2 linked regions of the Bombyx mori genome follow. Each later gene encodes a partner of the first gene's protein in a complex. Links are inferred from orthologs where the notes say so. Each region holds a gene or a part of one and is shown on either strand. Other genes may lie near its edges.

The links.
Region 2: E3 SUMO-protein ligase RanBP2 (region 1) and probable nucleoporin Nup54 share a complex: the UniProt entries of both Drosophila melanogaster proteins name them as parts of the nuclear pore complex. The link is inferred for Bombyx mori from reciprocal best matches to the Drosophila melanogaster genes Nup358 and Nup54.

The regions. Positions count from the first base shown.
Region 1 is NC_085121.1:11,019,751-11,029,332, forward strand, and holds part of E3 SUMO-protein ligase RanBP2, read left to right. Parts: coding exon 1-1,653; intron 1,654-2,519; coding exon 2,520-2,662; intron 2,663-2,751; coding exon 2,752-4,091; intron 4,092-4,696; coding exon 4,697-4,899; intron 4,900-5,263; coding exon 5,264-5,401; intron 5,402-5,549; exon of another isoform or gene 5,550-5,875; intron 5,876-5,973; coding exon 5,974-6,171; intron 6,172-6,601; coding exon 6,602-6,976; intron 6,977-7,836; coding exon 7,837-8,037; intron 8,038-8,434; coding exon 8,435-8,560; intron 8,561-8,664; coding exon 8,665-8,712; 3' UTR 8,713-9,582. UniProt on the Drosophila melanogaster protein: E3 SUMO-protein ligase. Component of the nuclear pore complex (NPC), a complex required for trafficking across the nuclear envelope.
Region 2 is NC_085121.1:5,994,765-6,004,890, reverse strand, and holds part of probable nucleoporin Nup54, read right to left. Parts: intron 9,807-10,126; coding exon 9,699-9,806; intron 8,636-9,698; coding exon 8,540-8,635; intron 8,273-8,539; coding exon 8,043-8,272; intron 6,719-8,042; coding exon 6,565-6,718; intron 4,837-6,564; coding exon 4,680-4,836; intron 4,100-4,679; coding exon 3,991-4,099; intron 3,057-3,990; coding exon 2,873-3,056; intron 1,838-2,872; coding exon 1,749-1,837; intron 338-1,748; coding exon 170-337; intron 1-169. UniProt on the Drosophila melanogaster protein: Component of the nuclear pore complex (NPC), a complex required for the trafficking across the nuclear envelope. Essential for the nuclear import of nuclear localization signal (NLS)-containing proteins in an importin alpha/importin beta-dependent manner.

The sequences.
Region 1 (9,582 bases):
GACCATCCTAAATCTACTCCTGGTAAATCTGTGCTTGGAGGATTCACTTTTAGTAGTACACCAAACATAAAACCAATTAAGGATGAAAAAGAAGTCTGTTCTAAACCAACTGAAACAACTGTAGGTAAATCCAACCCATTTACTGACTTTTCTTTGAAATCTATGTCAAGTTCACCATTTTCCAATTTGTCAACTGTGAATACGAATATATTTAGTAAAAATACTACACCTCCACAAGACGCTGCTAAAAAATTAAACATATCTGACACAGTAGAGGACTTTGAACCCACTGCAGAATTTAAACCAGTTGTACCTTTACCTACATTGATTGATCAAAAAACTGGAGAAGAAGACGAAAATGTGTTGTTTGAGAACCGTGCTAAACTCCTACGTTTCGATGCTTCAGACAAAGAATGGAAAGAGCGAGGACTAGGTAACATGAAGTTACTTATACACAAAGAAAATACCCAAAAAGTACGATTATTAATGAGACGAGAACAAACTTTGAAAGTATGTTGCAATCATTCAGTAACAAAATTTATGATATTCCAAAAAATGCAGAATATGGAGAAAGCTGTTACTTGGTGCGCTAAGGACTTTTCAGAAGGAGAACTGGTAACACAAACATTTTGTTTGCGTTTTAAAACTCCAGAGCAATGCGGAAAATTTATTGATACTGTAAACATGGCACAGAAAAATATGGAAGATGAATCAAAAACTTCCAAGGAAGGAAACAATGCAGCCACACAGAACAATCAAACTGGATTTGGAGATAAATTTAAGTCAAAACCAGGGTCTTGGTATTGTGAAACATGTTATACCAATAACTTGGAAAGTTTTGACAAATGTGCTTGTTGTGAACAACAGAAACCACAACTTGTTGTGAATAATAAAGAATTAGGTTTTGGAGACAAATTCAAAAAGCATCCAGGAACATGGGAGTGCCCGATGTGTTTAATTCGCAATGAAATTGGAGTAAAAAATTGCATTGCCTGTAAAACACTTAAAGATCCTTCAGAAACAAATAATAAACCAGAACCAGAAGTACAACCATTGCAATATTCTTATGGAATACCTGGTCAAAATGCTAAAACCTTAGAAAATAAAACAATACAGTTTCAAAATACAAATATTCAAATATCAACTGATTCAAAAGCTTCTATTCCGAAATTTAAATTTGGTATTGCACCAGCATCACATGAATCAAACGAGGAAACTAATTCAGAAGTTGATGCACCCACTTCCACATCTATATTTGATGGTACTGGTACACACACATTTAAATTTGGTATTCCATCAAATTTGACTGTAAAGCCCCAAAATTCACTTGAAATTAAAAAACCAATGAGTACAATGTTTGATTCACCTAAGACTTCAGTAGCTGCTGAAAAACCTTTGAACATAAATTTAAAAATAGAACATGAAAATGAGAGTAACACAGCTGTATTATCTAAATCAAAAGATCTTACGTTTGGTTCTAATGAAAGTGGAACATTCAATTTCGTTTTTAAACCAAAAACTCCAGTAAAATCCAAGAGTCCATTGAAAAATCCAAAAAGTCCTGGTGAGGACAGTGATGGAAATGATGAGTGTGTGTCAGAAGAGGAGTCGTCCCAGATACAATTTACACCTGTTATTCCCTTGCCTGATGAGGTAAGTCATATTTTAATTTTACAAAAAAAATTCATAAAATTTGAAGTCGTCGTAGCTTAAAGGATAAGGACGACCGGTGCATTCGTATTGAGCGATGCACGGGTGTTCGAATCCCAGGCGGGTGCTAGTTTTTCTAATGAAATACGTACTCAACAAATGTTCACGATTGACTTCCACGGTGAAGGAATAACATCGTGTAATAAAAATCAAACCCGCAAAATTATAATTTGCGTAATTACTGGTGGTAGGACCTCTTGTGAGTTCGCGTGGGTAGGTACCACCACCCTGCCTATTTCTGCCGTGAAGCGGTGATACGTTTCGGTTTGAAGGGCGGCGAAGACCTTAGAACTGATATCTCAAGGTGGGTAGGGCATTTACGTTGTAGATGTCTATGGGCTCCAGTAACCACTTAACACCATGTGGGCTGTGAGCTCGTCCACCCAATTAAGAAATAAAAAAATAAAAAAACTTGATGTGGATTAGCAGACAAAGGATAACTGTAAACCAGCATCTGATAACTGTAACCCATACACCAAATGATAGTAGATTTCAGTACCACAAGAACATTGTAATACAATTCAACATGAAATTTCTAGTTGAAGTGCATCAACGTAAGCATATGATATAAATTAGGGATAGAAACAGTAGTTATTTTTAGCTTTTATTTTTAATCACAAATTACTGTACAAAATTCTAATCTTACATTTTCCTTGACTAGTTCCATCAAAATAAGATAAATAAGTAGTAGTCATATAATATATAGTATAGTCCAAGTGTCTTATTCGTATTGAGAGTTAAAAATAAAGATTGAATAGAAAATGTTGTAAATATATACATGTTGTATTTGAAAAAAATTGCTTTGACAGGTTCAAGTTGTAACTGGGGAGGAAAATGAAACTGAACTTTATGGCCACAGAGCCAAACTATATAGATTTATGGCTGGCGAATGGAAAGAGAGAGGAATCGGAGTTGTAAAAATTTTGAAACACAAAGATACAGGCAAGTTAAGGTAAGTAATAACTTAACTGGTGTTTTATTAGAGACATATTCAAATAGACCATAATCATAATCATCATTTAATTTATTCTTTTATTTTAGAGTTGTAATGCGACGGGAGCAAGTTCTAAAAATATGTTTAAATTATGCATTAGCGCCTGAAATTACATTTACTCCCAAAGATGAAAAAACGTGGTTGTTTGCTGCTAATGATTATAGTGAGGGAGAGTTAAGCTTACAACAATTTTGCCTTCGATTTGCAAATAAAGAAACTGCTACTGAGTTCAAAGACGCAGTTGATAAAGCCAGGGATGGTAAATCTATTGAAATAATGAAAAAAGATGATAAATGTAATTCAGAAAGTATTTCTGGAAAGAGTGAACAAAATATTGATGAGGATGATGTTATTTTTGTGAGTGAAACAGTTGCCACTGTGGAAGAAAAGCAGAAAGCAAAGGATCTATTACTTCCGGAAAACTTTTACAATTACAAATGTAAAGATCCATGTCAAGGATGCCGGGGTTGCAAAGAAAATGAGTTTGTAAAAAAAACTGATTCTCCAGTGAATATTAGCAACTCAACAAATCCACTAGAACATATGACTATGGCAGCTCTTCTATCGACTCCTAGTAAAACGACTCCATCTTCATTTCAAAGTCCTACTAATTCATTGTATGGCACTCCATCTAATTTTGAAAAGACTTACGATACCTCAATTTTCCGTACTCCTCTAGGATCAATTGGCTCATTAAAATCCGATACACCTACATCAACAATAAAAAAATCTGATCTTTTAATTAGCAAAGAAAATGATTCAATACAGAAACCCTCAGTTTATTCAACATCAACTGTTGAGGAGGTTGAAGCAACAGAGATAAATTCAAAGTCTAAAGGTGTTATACTTGCTCCCCCAAAACTTACTAATGTTCCCTCAAATGAACAAAAAGCTCCAGAAAAAAGCTCCATTTTTACTAGTGGTCAAAACAAACCTATGTTTGATCAATCCAAATTTCTATTTGGTAGTGCTGCTGCTGGTACTTCTAGTAATAAATCAATTTTTTCATATTCAAGTGATAACTCACCTAAAAATCCAAAAGATGATGTGAAATCAATATTTGGTGGAGCCCAGAAAGACTTTTTATTTAGTAATGTAGCACAAAGTAAAATTTTTGGCCCAGGATCAATAGCTAGTAATCAATCGAAACCCAGTCTTTTTAGTACACAACCACAGACTGAAGAAAAAAAGAATGTGTTCGTAAATAATGACTTGCAGTGTGGGAATAATGCAACTATTAATTCTAATCAGAAAAAAACAAATGAAGACATCTCAGAAAAATCCAATGTAGCCAAAAAAGAAGAGATAAATAGTGAAGGACCCTTCAGAATTGATAATAAACTATCATTTGCTGCTTTGTCTACGGGTAGTGGTGATAATTTTCAGAGTAAGTGCTTATTACTGATTTATTAAGGATCGCCATATTAATAAAAAATAATAATATTAAATCAATTAACAGCTGTAAACAGTCAATCTCAGTGTTTAAGTTTAGTAAAAGCAAACTTAGCAAAAAAAAGGACCCAGTATGACGTATGTAATGGCAATAAGTAGGTACTAAAAGTTCATGTTTAAGTTAGCTCTATGAATCAAAATCTTGTACAATAATTATGTGTTTTAAATTGTGAAGAGCGTATGGTGAGTCCACAATGCAAGATGTCTTTTTCGGCAGCAAAGCACGCGTTAGGAGTTGAAGGTTAGGTACGACAGGCGGAATAACAATCAGTTGATGGCTCTGTCCGGGCGTAGCTGAAACAGCCTCTTAGGCTACCAGCAAATAGTTGGGGAATAAAATGTGGTCGACTACATTCGGATAAGATATTCATACTGTATTCGTATTATACAATTTAAATAAATGGAAAGTTTGAAAAGTTTTTAAATATTAAATTAGAGCAAATGCTGATATTTGTAAAACAATATATTAAGCCCCAAGCAATATATTAAAATCACATCATGTGTAATTACAAAGGTAAAAAACATCAAATTCCATTGCAGAAAAGGCCGATTTTCAATGGGAGGGTGCAGGTCAGCAACTGTTTGCTGGTGGACAGAGAATAGAGGGAGATAATTCTAAAACTGAAAGCAATGCAGTAACCGAAAAAAGTGGAGCTGCAGGTGATGAAGAATATGACCCATATTATGAACCTATTGTACCTTTACCTGAAAAAATTGTGATCACTACTGGTGAAGAGGATGAGGTAAGTACTGTTCTGCTTATGATTTTACAAGTTACTAAATTTTTCACAAATCATTTCATTAATGAACTTTCAATATGTTTTGTCTACACAACCTGTATTCAATGATTAATTTGATTTGAGTTTGTAACCCTTTGAAATACTGGCACTGAGTTGGGGGATAGTATTTAAATAACTACTTTTTTCTCCTACCTACGCCAAAAGTTCGGTTTTCCTCCCGCTGTACAGGGAAGATTGTCTAACTTTTCCTCCCACTGTAAGGAGAAGAAACTGTAACTTTACCCCCTGGGTATAACCAGGTAAATGTCAGAAGTGCTCAATAAAATAACACTATAAACTTAATCCTAAATGAGTTGTGAAATTTTAGGAAAAATTGTTTGGCGAAAGATGCAAATTATTCCGTTATAATGAATCTCAAGAATGGAAGGAACGTGGTGTAGGCGAAATAAAAATTCTGTATCATCCAGAAAGAAAAACGTACAGATTTTTATTAAGAAGAGAACAGGTAATTAATTTTAATCATCCAAACACATTGTTCAACAAGGAAAAAAACGGATTAATTACTTACCAGATTTATTTAATATGCAAGTGAGTATAGTTTCATTTCCAAAGCACATACACATAAGAGGAGTCTCCAAAATAAGAGCCAAATGTATAATTAATTATATATTTATTATTGTTTTACACCTGGACGATAATCTAGATATTTAGTAAATTTTATTAATGGCCATACCATAACAGACATTGAAGTATCAGTGGGCAGGGCACATTGCTCGTAGAACGGAGGGACGTTGGGGCCAGAAAGTTCTTGGGTGGCGACCGTGTGTGTACTTGAAGAGTTAGCGTGGGTAGGCCTCCCACAAGATGAACCGACGACCCATTCGAGGTTCGCGGGGATCCGCTGGATGCAGGCAGCGCAGATACGGTCTTTGTGGCGAGGCTTGGGGGAGGCCTATGTCCGGCAGTGGACGTCTGTGGGCTGATAAGAAGAAGAAGAAGATACCAATAAATTCTTAATCTCGTTTAAGTAAGGTTTCAATACCTTCACGCTTGCTACGATTTAAAAAAAATTGCCAGGTTCATAAAGCTGTATTGAATATGCTGTTATTTGCGGATTTGGAATTACACCCAATGAAAAATTCTGATCGAGCATGGATTTGGGCTGGGATAAATTATGCAGAAGACCCATCTGGTCAGCAGGAGACCCTAGCTGTCCGTTTTAAATCGATCGAACTGTTCAATGAGTTCGGCAATAAGGTCGCCCAATGTATACAGGTCAGTGTAAGATATTTATATTCATTTAAAATAAATGATCTAAAGGTTGGCAGAATGCTATGTTTCAAACTGAAAAAAAATACTATTTTTTAACTATAAAAATGAAATTCACAAGTAATATAAACGAGGCTATTTTTATAGCATAATATAAGATATTGTAAATTATTTTTATTATTATGAACCCCTTGGGAAGTTCCTACTGACAGGATTTTCTGAGCGATCTAACAAAACACAATTTCAAATATTTTTGTTTCGTATATTGTATTCAATGCTATGCTTAATACTGCAAAGTTATATTATCAAATATTTTCAATACTTTTATTCCTAAAACACTTTTGAAACAAAAATATAATTACTCAGACAGTGACACTATGTTTTACAGGTTCTAGTTTGCATAAACTATGTCTAAATGGTAATTTTCTTATTACAGAAGCTGCAAGATGAAACAGCTGCTAAGCCTATTGAAGTGAAAAAATCTCAAGAAACAAATGAGGCCAGTTTCACCAATCCCATGCGGTTGCCGAAACATTTGCAAGACAGTGCACGAGCAGACTACGCGATGACGGCAAAAGTGGAACAGCAAACTCAGAGAGACGAAGTCGTGGACCCGAAACCAGAAGCTGTGTTCCAAGTCAGACCATCACCGTCCAAAGAAAATTTTCAACAAGTACAGTTCCAAGAAATGCGCCAATCAAAGGAATATGACGTTGATGAAGAATATGACGACGATAATGGCGAAGATAATTATGATGAGTATGATCCCGACTATGAGCACAATGAATACGACCATGAATACAATGAAGATGTAAGTGTTAAAATTAGCGTATCCTAACATTCAAAATGGATGCGACTTTTGAATATTTTGATTTTTTTTATATTATATTTAATATAACCATGAAAAAAATGCCACCTATGATGTCTTATATTCAGCGATGGGTAAAAATTGAAGGGCTTAAATGAGTTGGTTATTCATTTTAATTAATGCGAATATATTTGATGATTTCATGTTGCATTGTCGGAATTTTTTGAAGTCGAGGTTCACAATTTTATAATTTGAACTTTTAAATTACTATTTTTATGCTATAAGGCAGATGAGACCTATTTTAAAATAATTTTTCTTTAATTATTGATCTGGAAATTGTAATATATTATAGAAAACCAAAGCAAAGTACAAAACTGCATATAAATTTGTAGAAAGAAAATTAATTGAAGTAGAAGTTTGTTTATCAAGGGTGAAAGACCTCGATGCTTGCCTGAAATTTGAATGTCAAACATCCAATGTAACCGTCATCACATTATTTTAATACCTGTATCATCATAATACAGCTCAGATTAGACCTTTTATCTCAAAGTGGCTATGAGCACCCTTCCACCTTGCCTGCATTTTGGAAACACTTAACATCTGGGGTCGGGCGCAAAACAAAAAAATTTGAAATAATGGCGACCACACCTACTGTTCCAAATAAAACCCAAGATGCACAGCAAAAACAAGGTTTTTATTCCGACCGTGTATAATAAATACACTCTAACAAAAGATTTATTCCCAAGCGGAGACCAGAAATTAAAAATACAAGAATTTAAAACTACCGTTTTATTTATTTACATACACACAATAAACATTAAATGTCCATTTATCGATGATTTCAATTTTAATTCAATATGTAGGAAGAGGAAGAATCTGGTGAATATTATTCGTGTGATGGAGAAGCAGTTATCAAGCAAGGCAGTTCAGAAACGACATGTGAGAACGCTCGCATCATCGTGATATTTGATCAGGATGTTTGCTCACCTAAAATTCTGATCACTGACAGTGGAACTGGAGAAATCCTTGCCGATATGCTTATAAGCACAGATACTGAATTTGAGGTACGTATTTTTAATAATTATATATAATTTTTCGTTATTTCGTAGCAAGCGGTGTTGCTGGCAGTGCTTTAAAAAATATATTTTACCAACATGTTTTGCGCTACAGGTTATAATATCGCTATTAACACTGCTTTCGGCGACACCATAGTGGTGTCGTGAGATGGCTGTTTCAGTAGTTTGCTTGCTAATAATAATAGTTTAAATTGTTCGAAATCGGAAAACTAAATTTAATATATAATAATAACATAATTTCCACTAAAATTATGTTATTATTTGCGTTACTTAAAATACTTTTAAATAATATGTTCACTTTGTTATAATTAAATCACGATAAGTGATGTATTTAAAACTCATTACCTTTAAAACATTTTAAATTAATTCTCCATATTCCATTTAGATTTCTAGTGATACTACGTGCAAATGGTCAGGAACGGACTTTACGAGCAATGATCCCGTTGAAAAGTCTGTAACAGTTAACTTCCCCGATAGTGAAGTCGCAGCACAGTTCCATGAAAGTTGTGAGGTAAGAAAACGTAAAAAAAAGTTCGCATACAACAGTTGTACATTTCATGTCTCTCTATAAAATATATAAGTTTCACATGTGTAATGGTTTTTTATTTATTTCAGACTTTATGTAAAGGTGCATCGCTGTACAGATCAGATCCAGAATCGTAGGAATATTTCAAAGTATTTTAATATAGTTTTATAATTTGTGTTTAAGAAGTAGGTTTTGTGCCACCTTGGTATTTGAACAAAGTTATCATCAATATTTTCACATATTTTATTAATGTAATTTTTAATTTAAAAACAACAAGTAAAATGCGAGTTTTTTTAATATATGGTACATTACCACCACCACCACCACCACCACTACCACTTATGAAACTATCACTAATGCATATAATTATAATGTTTAGTGTGATTTTACAAAAATCAATAGCACGCTGTCTGTGAGATATTTCATAGTAAGTATAGTACTTAAAATATTTTGTCTTACTATTTACTAAATCATTTTGTTTTCAATACATTTATAATTATCTTGTAATAAATATGTGTTATAACTTATCACAAGGAGATCTAACCAACACTTGTTACTTATTTATTAAAAAGATAAAAAAGTAGTAAATTATTTTTGTATTTTATGTCGTTCCTAGTTGGTTAGGTCTTCTTGTATTCCTTTCTTGTATTAAGTTAATATGTAGAGCTGTAAACCTATAAGTTTCATAGTAACTTCACAGTTCAATGATTCAGTCAAATAAAAAGACTACAGAAGAGGACATAACTCCGAGTAAAATTGACATTATTGAAGTATAAAAATGTATGTTGTTAAATAAATCAAATATCGTCGTGTTTCCCTGTATTACGTGGATTATAAAATAATTGATATTATAGAAATGAGAAAAGGATTGAATTTCAAATTATGACATTAAACAGTAAATAAATGCATATAGGACGAAAAAAATAATCTTGTTCTCATTTTGGAATCTGATGTGGAATGTATTGTGGAATGTGAAGAACTTACTTATAACGTAATAAAGATGTTGA
Region 2 (10,126 bases), about 5.0 Mb from region 1:
GCTCTGCCCCTGGCATTGCCTGAAGTCCATGGGCGACGGTAACTACTCACCATCAGGCGGGCCGTATGCTCGTCTGCCTACAAGGACAATAAAAAAAAACATCTGATGTCTTTAGTACTATCGTCTGTTTTCGTTTTCGGAAGCGGTCTCCCAACACCCAGTATAGTACCTGCAGGAGCGTATGTCGCAGCGCGTGCAGAGCGGCGGAGAGGCGCGCCAGGCGGGCGGCGGCGGCGGCGCGGCGCGTGCGCAGCTCGCACAGCGTGTCCTCCGCGCGACGCAGCCAGCTCGCCTGCAGCCGGCCCTGCTCCGCCTGGCACTGCGCTCGGAACTTTATCTAAGCACATCAATATTCAACTACAGCACTTTTTTATTTTTATTTTTTTATCGCTTAGATGGGTGGACGAGCTCACAGCCCACCTGGTGTTAAGTACTTACTGGAGCCCATAGACATCTACAGCATAAACGCGCCACCCACCTTGAGATATAAGTTCTAAGGTCTCAGTATAGTTACAACGGCTGCCCCACCCTTCAAACCGAAACGCATTGCTGCTTCACGGCAGAAATAGGCTGGGTGGTACCTATACGTGTGGACTCACAAGAGGTCCTACCAGCAGTAAAGACTTTCCCAAAGTGGGCGATAACGCCCCCTTGTGGGCGCTGCAGGCCTAAAGGGGGGCGGTAAGAGACCCAGAAAAAAAATGGGGGCGGTGTGTAGAGGCTTGGGAGGCGATTTGTAATTTTATCTAGGAGCACTCTTAGACACCGACTGAGCTCTGGCTATAGTGATTTTTAAGTACGTGAAAAAATAGGGGCGCTATATATAATTTATTCTCAAAGTAAGCAGTAGACAAAATAAGTTTGGGAACCCCTGATCTACAATAACGAAATCACTCGAAATCGTCTCTAATCCATATAGGCCCCGTTTGCAAAAATCACCTTAGCCCCCTCTTGTAAGTGTGTGGGCAAAATGGAATACGTTTTTTTTATGTTTGGGTGATCACTGGCGGCCCGGAAGCCTTTCCAGTTTCACCGGGACAGGTGGGAGAAGCAAGGGCTCAGCGGGGAAGGGTGGGATTTTGCTAACAGCTACCCGAGCGCCTCCAAAGGAGACCTAACAACTCAAGAATTACTGCTTCGCGAATATATCTACTACCAGATCGGAATCGTGACCCGCTGATGAGATCCGGCGAGAAACTCAGCCGGCTGATGTTTAGGTTAGATTAGGTTGTACGTTGAACTCATTGCAGAGTTCGACGAGTACGGTTACCGGAGTCCCTGAGCCTGCTCCTAGCGTTAGAGCTAAAGGCGTCTAATGCAATGGTTATGAGTTTGCGTAAAGACGTGTCTAGGGCGGCAACGATAAGGCGATTATCATGACACATAGCTTTATCGAAGTACCGTTCCGATGCTGACTTCATGTGTTTCCGGCTTGATTAGAGGCCCAGGTCGTCGTGTAGGTCAATGGAATAGGTACAATTGTAACAGGTTCATTGAAAGTACCGATACGGCCGCTCCATAGGACCGATATGTTTAACAGACTACTGAGGCTGCTTCGATTAAACATAATACGTACAATACTAAAATATTCCCACAATAAATATTACTAATGGCTTAACAGTAAATATAATTACACTTTGTTTATGCTTGTAAGATTTTACAGAATATCCCGTTGATGGATATAGTTTTATCATATTTATGTATATTATATAAATCTGTTTTAGATGTTATAGTTTGTGTTGACCTACCTCTGAGAATCCAATAATTGGCACTGGAATGTAATTAGCAGAGTCCGGTTTGTCGGCTTGAGCTTGTTTCCATAATCTTATATCCATGCCTATAGTGAAAATAAGGAAATTGATTATTTTGTACGAAATTAATTTAATAGCTAGTAATATTAACGAAATTAAATTAAATTCATTAAAAAAAAAAAAAAACTTGAATGGTTATAAAAAAGAAACATTTGTTTAGTTTCATTGACGAAGTTCACAAAATGTAAAAATCGTGCTAATTCACATTGAAACATACATTACATATGAGGACTTCAAAACGACGCAAGAGTAGCTGCGAGAGCAATTAAAGATTCCAAGAAATATGTTAAGAACAACATACTTAAATGAGACCCTTCATTCAATTATGTACTCTAAGAACTTCAGCGATTTTATTGTTATCATTACTGTGGTACGCAAAACTCTGTGTAATGCATTGCCCTGTCACTATGCTGAGTTGAAACCAACTATTGTCAATAATTAATTTCAATTAGTGCTGTTTGAGACATGAGGTCGAGGTCTCAATTGCATTCAAATACAGTCTATCCTTTCATTCAAATGGAAACTTTTGCTTAGCAGTAGAAATTATTTGGAGTCTTTGAATGGAGACTTTAGTGCAGAGAGTGGGGTTTGCTCAATATTCTTATAGTCTAAGGTGACGAAGGTGGCATACTTGAGTTTTTTTTTATTACACTTATTGGCAGACGAGCATACGGCCCACCTGATGGTGAGTGGTTACCGTTGCCCATGGACTTCAGCAATGCCAGGGGCAGAGCCAAGCCGCTGCCTACCGCTTAATACTCTCCACAAGCCTCGTTTGAACAAGGATATGTCATAGCGCTCGGGAAACACCGTGGAGGAGAGCTTATTCCATAGCCGGATGGTACGTGGCAAAAAATACCTCTGGAAACGCACTGTCGATGAACGCAGCGGTTCCAGATAATATTGATGAACTCTGCTCCGATGGCGGGAAGGTGCGGTGATAAAAAGTAGATGGGGGAATCATCTCAAACAATTCCTCAGAGCATTCCCTTTTGCTCAATATTCTTATAGTCTGAGGTGACGAAGGCGGCGTGTTGAGGTGTATGGCTTCTTTATGATACCTGGTGGAGGAGTTTGAAGGTACTGCTGCAGCATCTGCGGCGTCGGTGCGGTGACGGCGCTCACGGCAGAACAGCCGGCGCTGCTCAGGGCGTTCTTAGCGTTGCCGGCGTTTAAGAAATTCGCTAGCTCTGACGCAGAAACGTGAGAATTGTTCGCGGCCTTATCCACCACGTATATTACCACCTAGAGTAATTATTTAACATAATTTCAATCCAGATCTTTGTCTACGTTATATAAAATAAATCGGGGCAAATTTTATTTCGTACTAACTAACCCCGCAGACTTCGTAGTGCCTCAATCGATAAATAAAGGACCTAAACTTTTGTATAAAATAAACTTAAAACAAACAAAAGGAATCCGTCCGACGGGGGACACATCAAAGGAAAAACAAAAATGTATTTTTATTTAATTCCGAGCATTTTCATATTTATATACCTTTTAAACCTTCTCTGGACTTCCACAAGTAATTCAAGACCAAAATTAGCCAAATCGGTCTAGCCGTTCTCGAGTTTTAGCGAGACTAACGAACAGCAATTCATTTTTATATATATAGATTTATATCGCAGTTTATTTAAATTTGACAATAAACTCTGTCTTTTTCTAGTTATTTATCCGACACAGCGGTGGGGTCAGCTTTCCCTATTTTTCTCCTCATTTTCGTTTTGATTGCCACATCTTTGTCAGTAACATTGCATTCTTACTGGTGGTAGGACCTCTTGTGAGTCCGCGCGGGTAGGTACCACCACCCTGCCTATTTCTGCCGCGAAGCAGTAATGCGTTTCGGTTTGAAGGATGGGGCAGCCGTTGTATTTATACTAAGATCTTAGAGCTTATATCTCAAGGTGGGTGGCGCATTTACGTTGTAGATGTCTATGGGCTCCAGTAACCACTTAACACCAGGTGGGCTGTGAGCTCGTCAATTCATTTAAGCAATAAAAAAATAAAAAAATCCCTCTTGTCCTGCAACACTACATCTTTCCACCTTGAGCTGGAGTACCAAATTTCGGACGTAGTCTGGTGTCCTCTTTTTAACGTGACCATACAATCTCAGCCTACTCAACTGCATATTGTAGGCGATGTCCCGTCAGACCACGAATATGGTACAACTTTTACATACCTGACTTTTGTCATCTGCCACGGCTTTGACAGAATCAACATTGACAGCTAAGTTCGGTTTGTTCCCTAGTAAGCCTTGTAGTGATGTAATTAAACCTTGTTGGTTATTCCTGAAATAAAATTTAGATTAGAGAATCAGAAGACACATTTTAAAATAATGTTTAAGAGTACTTTATTGGTTTGTAGGGCGTTTTGTGAGATCGCACTGGCCGGTACTACCACCCTGCCTATTTCGGCTGCAAAGCAGTAATGCGTTTCAGTTCGAATGATGATGAGCAGTAGTTGTACTGTAAGCCTGAGACTCATGTCTCAATGTGGGTGACGGCATTTATGTTGTGTGTCTATGGGATCCGGTAACTACGTTACACCAGGTGGGCCAGATAAGCTCATCCACAAACATGAGTAACAAAAAATTTACTAAAAGTTGCTTAATAACTGGTTTTGTTAATGCGAGTTTTGAATGAATGAATAAATTTGCCGCGGCTGTATGTAAATCTATTATGTCACATCAAAATCTAAGTTAGATGCAAAATAATTTTATTTCATGTAGTTTTCATGTCATCAGTTTTTATGATCCCAAATGAAAAGAAAGAAAAATATAATTTTGCAATCGTAAGAACAACTTTAATACTTATAGTATATTTCCGAAAACACTGGTTGTCTTAAACAGAAATAAAATAAAGTTCTTACTTAATTTCTTGTTCGCTTTTGTTAAAAATCATAGCAACATGTCCATCCTTATCTTCCTTCTCACAGAGCTTTGAGTAGCCAACTGCTTTAAAACGACAGAGCGGATTTTGCTCTGTCAACGTCAAAGGCGGATGGTTTCGACTATAGTACGCTTGACCTAAACGAGAAAAAAATCATACTTACATACATACATTATAAAAGTTGACTGTTTGAATCTGTTTCTGAATTTAAATCTAAATATTCAATATTTAACAAATTAATGTAATTAAAAAAAAAAAAAATTATAGTCTATAGTAATAATATAATATCTATAGAATTTATAGTTCAAATAACAATGTGCAAGAGAAAATTTTTAAGTAAATGGAGAAACCTTGCTGCTCTGTGTTCGAATCTTACGTACCACAGGAACTGCCAAAGGAATTTTGTTATAACTAGAAGTCCCGCAGTAGTCGAAATTCGACTATAATTAATTGGAATTGTAAGTTTGTACACTATTATGATTGTATTTTATACTTCTATAATCACAAAATTCGCCAAGACTACACTATAAAAAAATATTAACAAAGAAAAACAAAATTTTAATCTCAATTTGACAACAGACGTCAAGAACAAAAGATTGACAATAAATAGTATGCATGCGTGTGTGCGTCAAATACATGGTATGTAGTGTGTGTAATGTTTGCTTTATTGATTTAATGTATCTTTTATGCATTATTTAAAAAAAAAATTAGCAATGTGCACTTCTTCTCTATATTCTCTATAAGTGTGGAAAATTTCATAGTCCTCCGTCCGCGCAATTTTCGTAAAAAGGGATACAAAGTTTTTGCTTCACGTATTAATATATAGATTCCATAATGCCCTTTTTACTACCAAGCAAACTCATTACTGGAATTACTGCGTCTAGCATTAACTAGTATGGCGGCGATGATCTTATGTAACTATGATATTACGAGTTTATAGAAATTCTGAGCAACTTTTCATTATAAGTTCATCAATAAATTCTAATTTCATCTTTCGCCTGCGATTGTAAAAACAAGATGATGGGATCATCTCAAATAATTCCTCGGAGTGCTCCCCATGGAACATACGGTACAAAATACAGAGGGAACTAAGGTCTCTCCGCAGAGGTTACATACGACCCGTGAGAATGGGATTATCAATAATCCGAACGGCCCTTCTTTGTATGTAGTCAAATGTCACCATACACGACATCGAAGGGTCAAAGGTTATTTTGTTTAAGCGACATTTTTGCAACTTTACAGAAGAGCCATTTAACGTTTAAAATTTGGAGAAATATCATAATAAAAAAACTTATTCGGCTATTTCAATGAGTAAACTTAATTGAGGTTAAATTAAACATCGAACTGTTGATGTTAATCTATACATATAAATAAAATTGGAGTGTTTGTTTGTAATATTGAAATAGCCTCTTTTAACTACATGCATATATATATATATATATATGATACATACACCAATATACATTTTTTACAGTTTTTGTCTGTCTGTCTGTCTGTTTGTTCCGGCTAATCTCTGGAACGGCTAGACTGATTTTGACGAGATTTTCACTGATAGGTAGCTGATGATATAAGGAGTAACTTAGGCTACTTTTTTTAGACTAGCTTCGCCCCGCGGCGTCACCCGCGTTACGACAATAACCGCGTGTACTCAACTATCAATAATAAAATTTAATGTTTCCGAAGCGAAGCGAGGGCGGGTCCCTAGTACCAAAATAAAACGCACCTTTAATTACAAATATAACTGTCGCGTATTAAGCGTAACGTCGCTTAAATCAAATAGCCTTTCACCCCTCGATAAGTTTATTGTAGTTATTTTATTTTTATTAATCAGCATCGAGTGTCAAGTTTATACTGGTCACGCATACCTGTACCCCATTGAGCTTGAATCAAATTCCACTTCGCTAAAACTTGATCCCTTTCGTCGCCGAACACACAGCAGTTGAACACGGCCGCGACTAACGCCTCGTGGGCTGTCGCTGGCGCTTGCTGTTGCTGTTGCTGCTGTTGTAGTTGTTGTTGCTGTTACGATTATAATCTCTAAATTAGGACTCGTTAGGTTCGCTATGGAATGAAAGCTTTCGCAAATACATATTCATCAAGGCTTAGTTTAGTCACGTCAAATTGGCGAAAACCTAAGAAGCAGTGTAATTCAATTGTAATTGATTTTTAAAAAAAACATTTGAATTATTTATAAAAAGGACTTGTTTTTAGTGTAATGATGATATAATATATTTGAAGTCGTTGTGGCCTAAAGGATAAGACGTCCGGTGCATTTGTATGTAGCGATGCACCGGTGTTCCGAGTCCCGCAGGCGGGTAACAATTTTTCTAATGAAATACGTACTCAACAAATGTTCACGATTGACTTCCACGGTGAAGGAATAACATCGTGTAATAAAAATCAAACCCGCAAAATTATAATTTGCGTAATCACTGGTGGTAGGACCTCTTGGGAGTCCGCACGGGTAGGTACCTCCACCCCGCCTATTTCCGTCGTGAAGCAGTAATGCGTTTCGGTTCGAAGGGTGGGGTAGCTGTTGTAACTACATATACTGAGATCTTAGAACTTATATCTCGAGGTGGGTGGCGCATTTACGTTGTAGATGTCTATGGGCTCCAGTAACCACTTAACACCAGGTGGGCTGTGAGATCGTCCATCCATCTAAGCAATAAAAAAAAAACTTTTTTTTCCTACCTATGCTGAACCTTGAGAGGCTATTTCAGCTTCACTCTAATGTGTAGGTGAGCTCACGGGGTTCAAACCGGAGTGTTGCTAACACTGGCTCTAGCAAGAGCAGTGCTTCGCAGAATCTACCACCGGATCGGAAACGCAACCCACTGAGAAGATCCGGCGAGAAACTCAGTGGGCTGGGTCAATTCGCTCGTCGAGCCCTTCGTCGCAAGCGACGGTTTCGACGAGGACGGTGACCGGTGCTTGATACTGAAAGCACCGTTAATAGATCGGGAGGATCCGTAATGACGTGTTTTGGGCTTGTATCAACAAAGGTTAACGTTTTGTAATAAAAACGCTTCTACATGGTACAAACATGTGCTGATACATTCAATTATTTTTCATAGCTCTGTTATATGCGTTACCCCTAATATATTGACTATTGCAATTTCGGTCGCCCATTTGTTACTGCAGAATGACTTCAGAGTAAAAAAGGTCTGAGTTACAGAGCGAAATTACGAGGTTTCATCGTTTGCCGTGTGACTGTCGAAAACTAAAATCTATTTAAAAAAAGTTTCACTGATATACAAGCCCTACTGAATATTAATACGTATTTCATAAAAATATATGTTTTTCTAGTTCACTTCTTGTATGGTAATTGAATCAAACACACCTGTTGTTGTCCAAATTGATTAGTGCCAAGACCAAATCCACCGAAACCAGTTGACGGTTTTGTACCAAATCCACTGCCAAAAGTTCCGGTACCGAAAGCTCCTGTATTCAGATTGCTGGAACCTAGAGTGTTTGTACCAAATGTTGGTGCTGCACTCGCAAATGTATTGGATCCAGTTCCAAATAAACCAGTCCCAAATGTGTTCGTCCCAAAGCCAGTTGTTCCAAAACCTTTAACAATTGTGTAAATAATTTTGTCAATTATTAATAGTAATTAATTTGGAATTATATCTTTTTCAATATTTCAAATATCAAAATACAAAACTAAAGAGAAAATTTAATAATTAAAATGAAATCTTTAGGTATCAGTGATTACTTTGTAATACATGAATGTATGCATCAAAAACACTACTCGCATAATACATCTGATCAATCAAAGGTAAATTGGAAATTTGAAAACGTAAAGTAAAAATGTAAGTAAAATTTAATCAATATTACCAGTGGCAGGTTTGGCAGCTCCAAATCCAGTCCCTCCGAACAATGAATTAGTAGTTGTTGTAGTAGCAGTGTTACCCAAACCACCAAAAGGTGTTGCTGAAACATTAGATATTACATTATTACTACACTAATTGATATCAGTGAATATTATGCAGTGGCATATTGTTCTCGAGCAAATCGATTTAGCTTAATGCTAAACAGTTAGCTTTTGTAGCCTTGACTATCTGCGCATATTGTTTTTAAATTATGTGTCTTCTATATCATTCATGTGTTATTTGAGCTATAGAAACTCCATAAAATTAGACTGAAAAAATTATTATTCACAATTTATACGCTGAAATAAAATATACATTAAAAGTGCGATAAAATTAAGATATCCATACCACATGTGCATGTAAAGTTCGAGAGCAAAAACCACATTCTACTTTGATCGGATGTTTAGTAATTGTCATATTTAATTATGATTGTTTTGGAGTATGTTACATTAAACATTTTTCGTACAAATTGGAAATGACTCGTATTTTTTCCTAGTAAATTGATATATCTATACTAATATTATAAAGAGGAAAGATTTGTTTGTTTGTTTGTTTCGAATAGGCTCCGAAACTACTGGACCGATTTGAAAAATTCTTTTTCCATTAGAAGCCGACATTGTCCCTGATGAACATAGGCTACTTTTTTTTAAATTTTTTTTTTTTTTTTTTGTTTCATGTGTGTTTTAATGTTTCCGAAGCGAAGCGAGGGCGGGTCACTAGTTGTATACTTTAATTGAACTATAAACAACTGTGTATTTATACAGTTTTCAATCATTAGGTCTAAGAAACTTTTTTAACTAAGAATAGTTTGAAAGAATCTACATTTTTATATAGGTTATATGGGTGGACAAGCTCACGGCTCACCTGGTGTTAAGTGATAACCGGAGCCAATAAAAGTAGTAACCGGAACTCATTTTAAAAATAGTAAAGTCTTAAAATGGTAAACTTTCTATTCACACCACCATTATTAAATCACCAAAATTGAATGTGTCAATATAAAAATAGCTCTTGTCTGATTTTCTTTTATAGTTTTTGGTAATTGAAATGTGTAATGGTAGTTGTAATAATAGTGCAGAAATATATTTTTTTAAATTAATTATATTCTTAGTCAAGCCAAGTATTACCACTACTGGTCCCAAAGGAGCCAAAGCCCGATGAGGTTGTCGTAGTACCAAAATTAAACCCAGTACTGGTGGTTGTAGCAGTACTTGTTCCACCAAATGAAAATGTCGCTGGAATTAAAGTACGAAAGTGTTATTAAACAATTTAAACTAAAAAATTGGAATGACTGCCATGAATACCTGCAATTTGCAAAATGTGAACAATGAAACAGAAATCAATTTAATCATTTTTGTGACCAGGAGATGAAATAATCTTCATTATGTAGCTCCACTACATTAAGTATATTATGTATCAGAATCACAGTTAAGATATCCACTTGCCTGCGTAAACTATGTGACACAACTTACCAATGGTCAAAATTAGAATTAAGGGAAATTTGAAACCTAGTAAGTGAGAATAGGTATTACTGCGGACAATGAAGTAATAACAG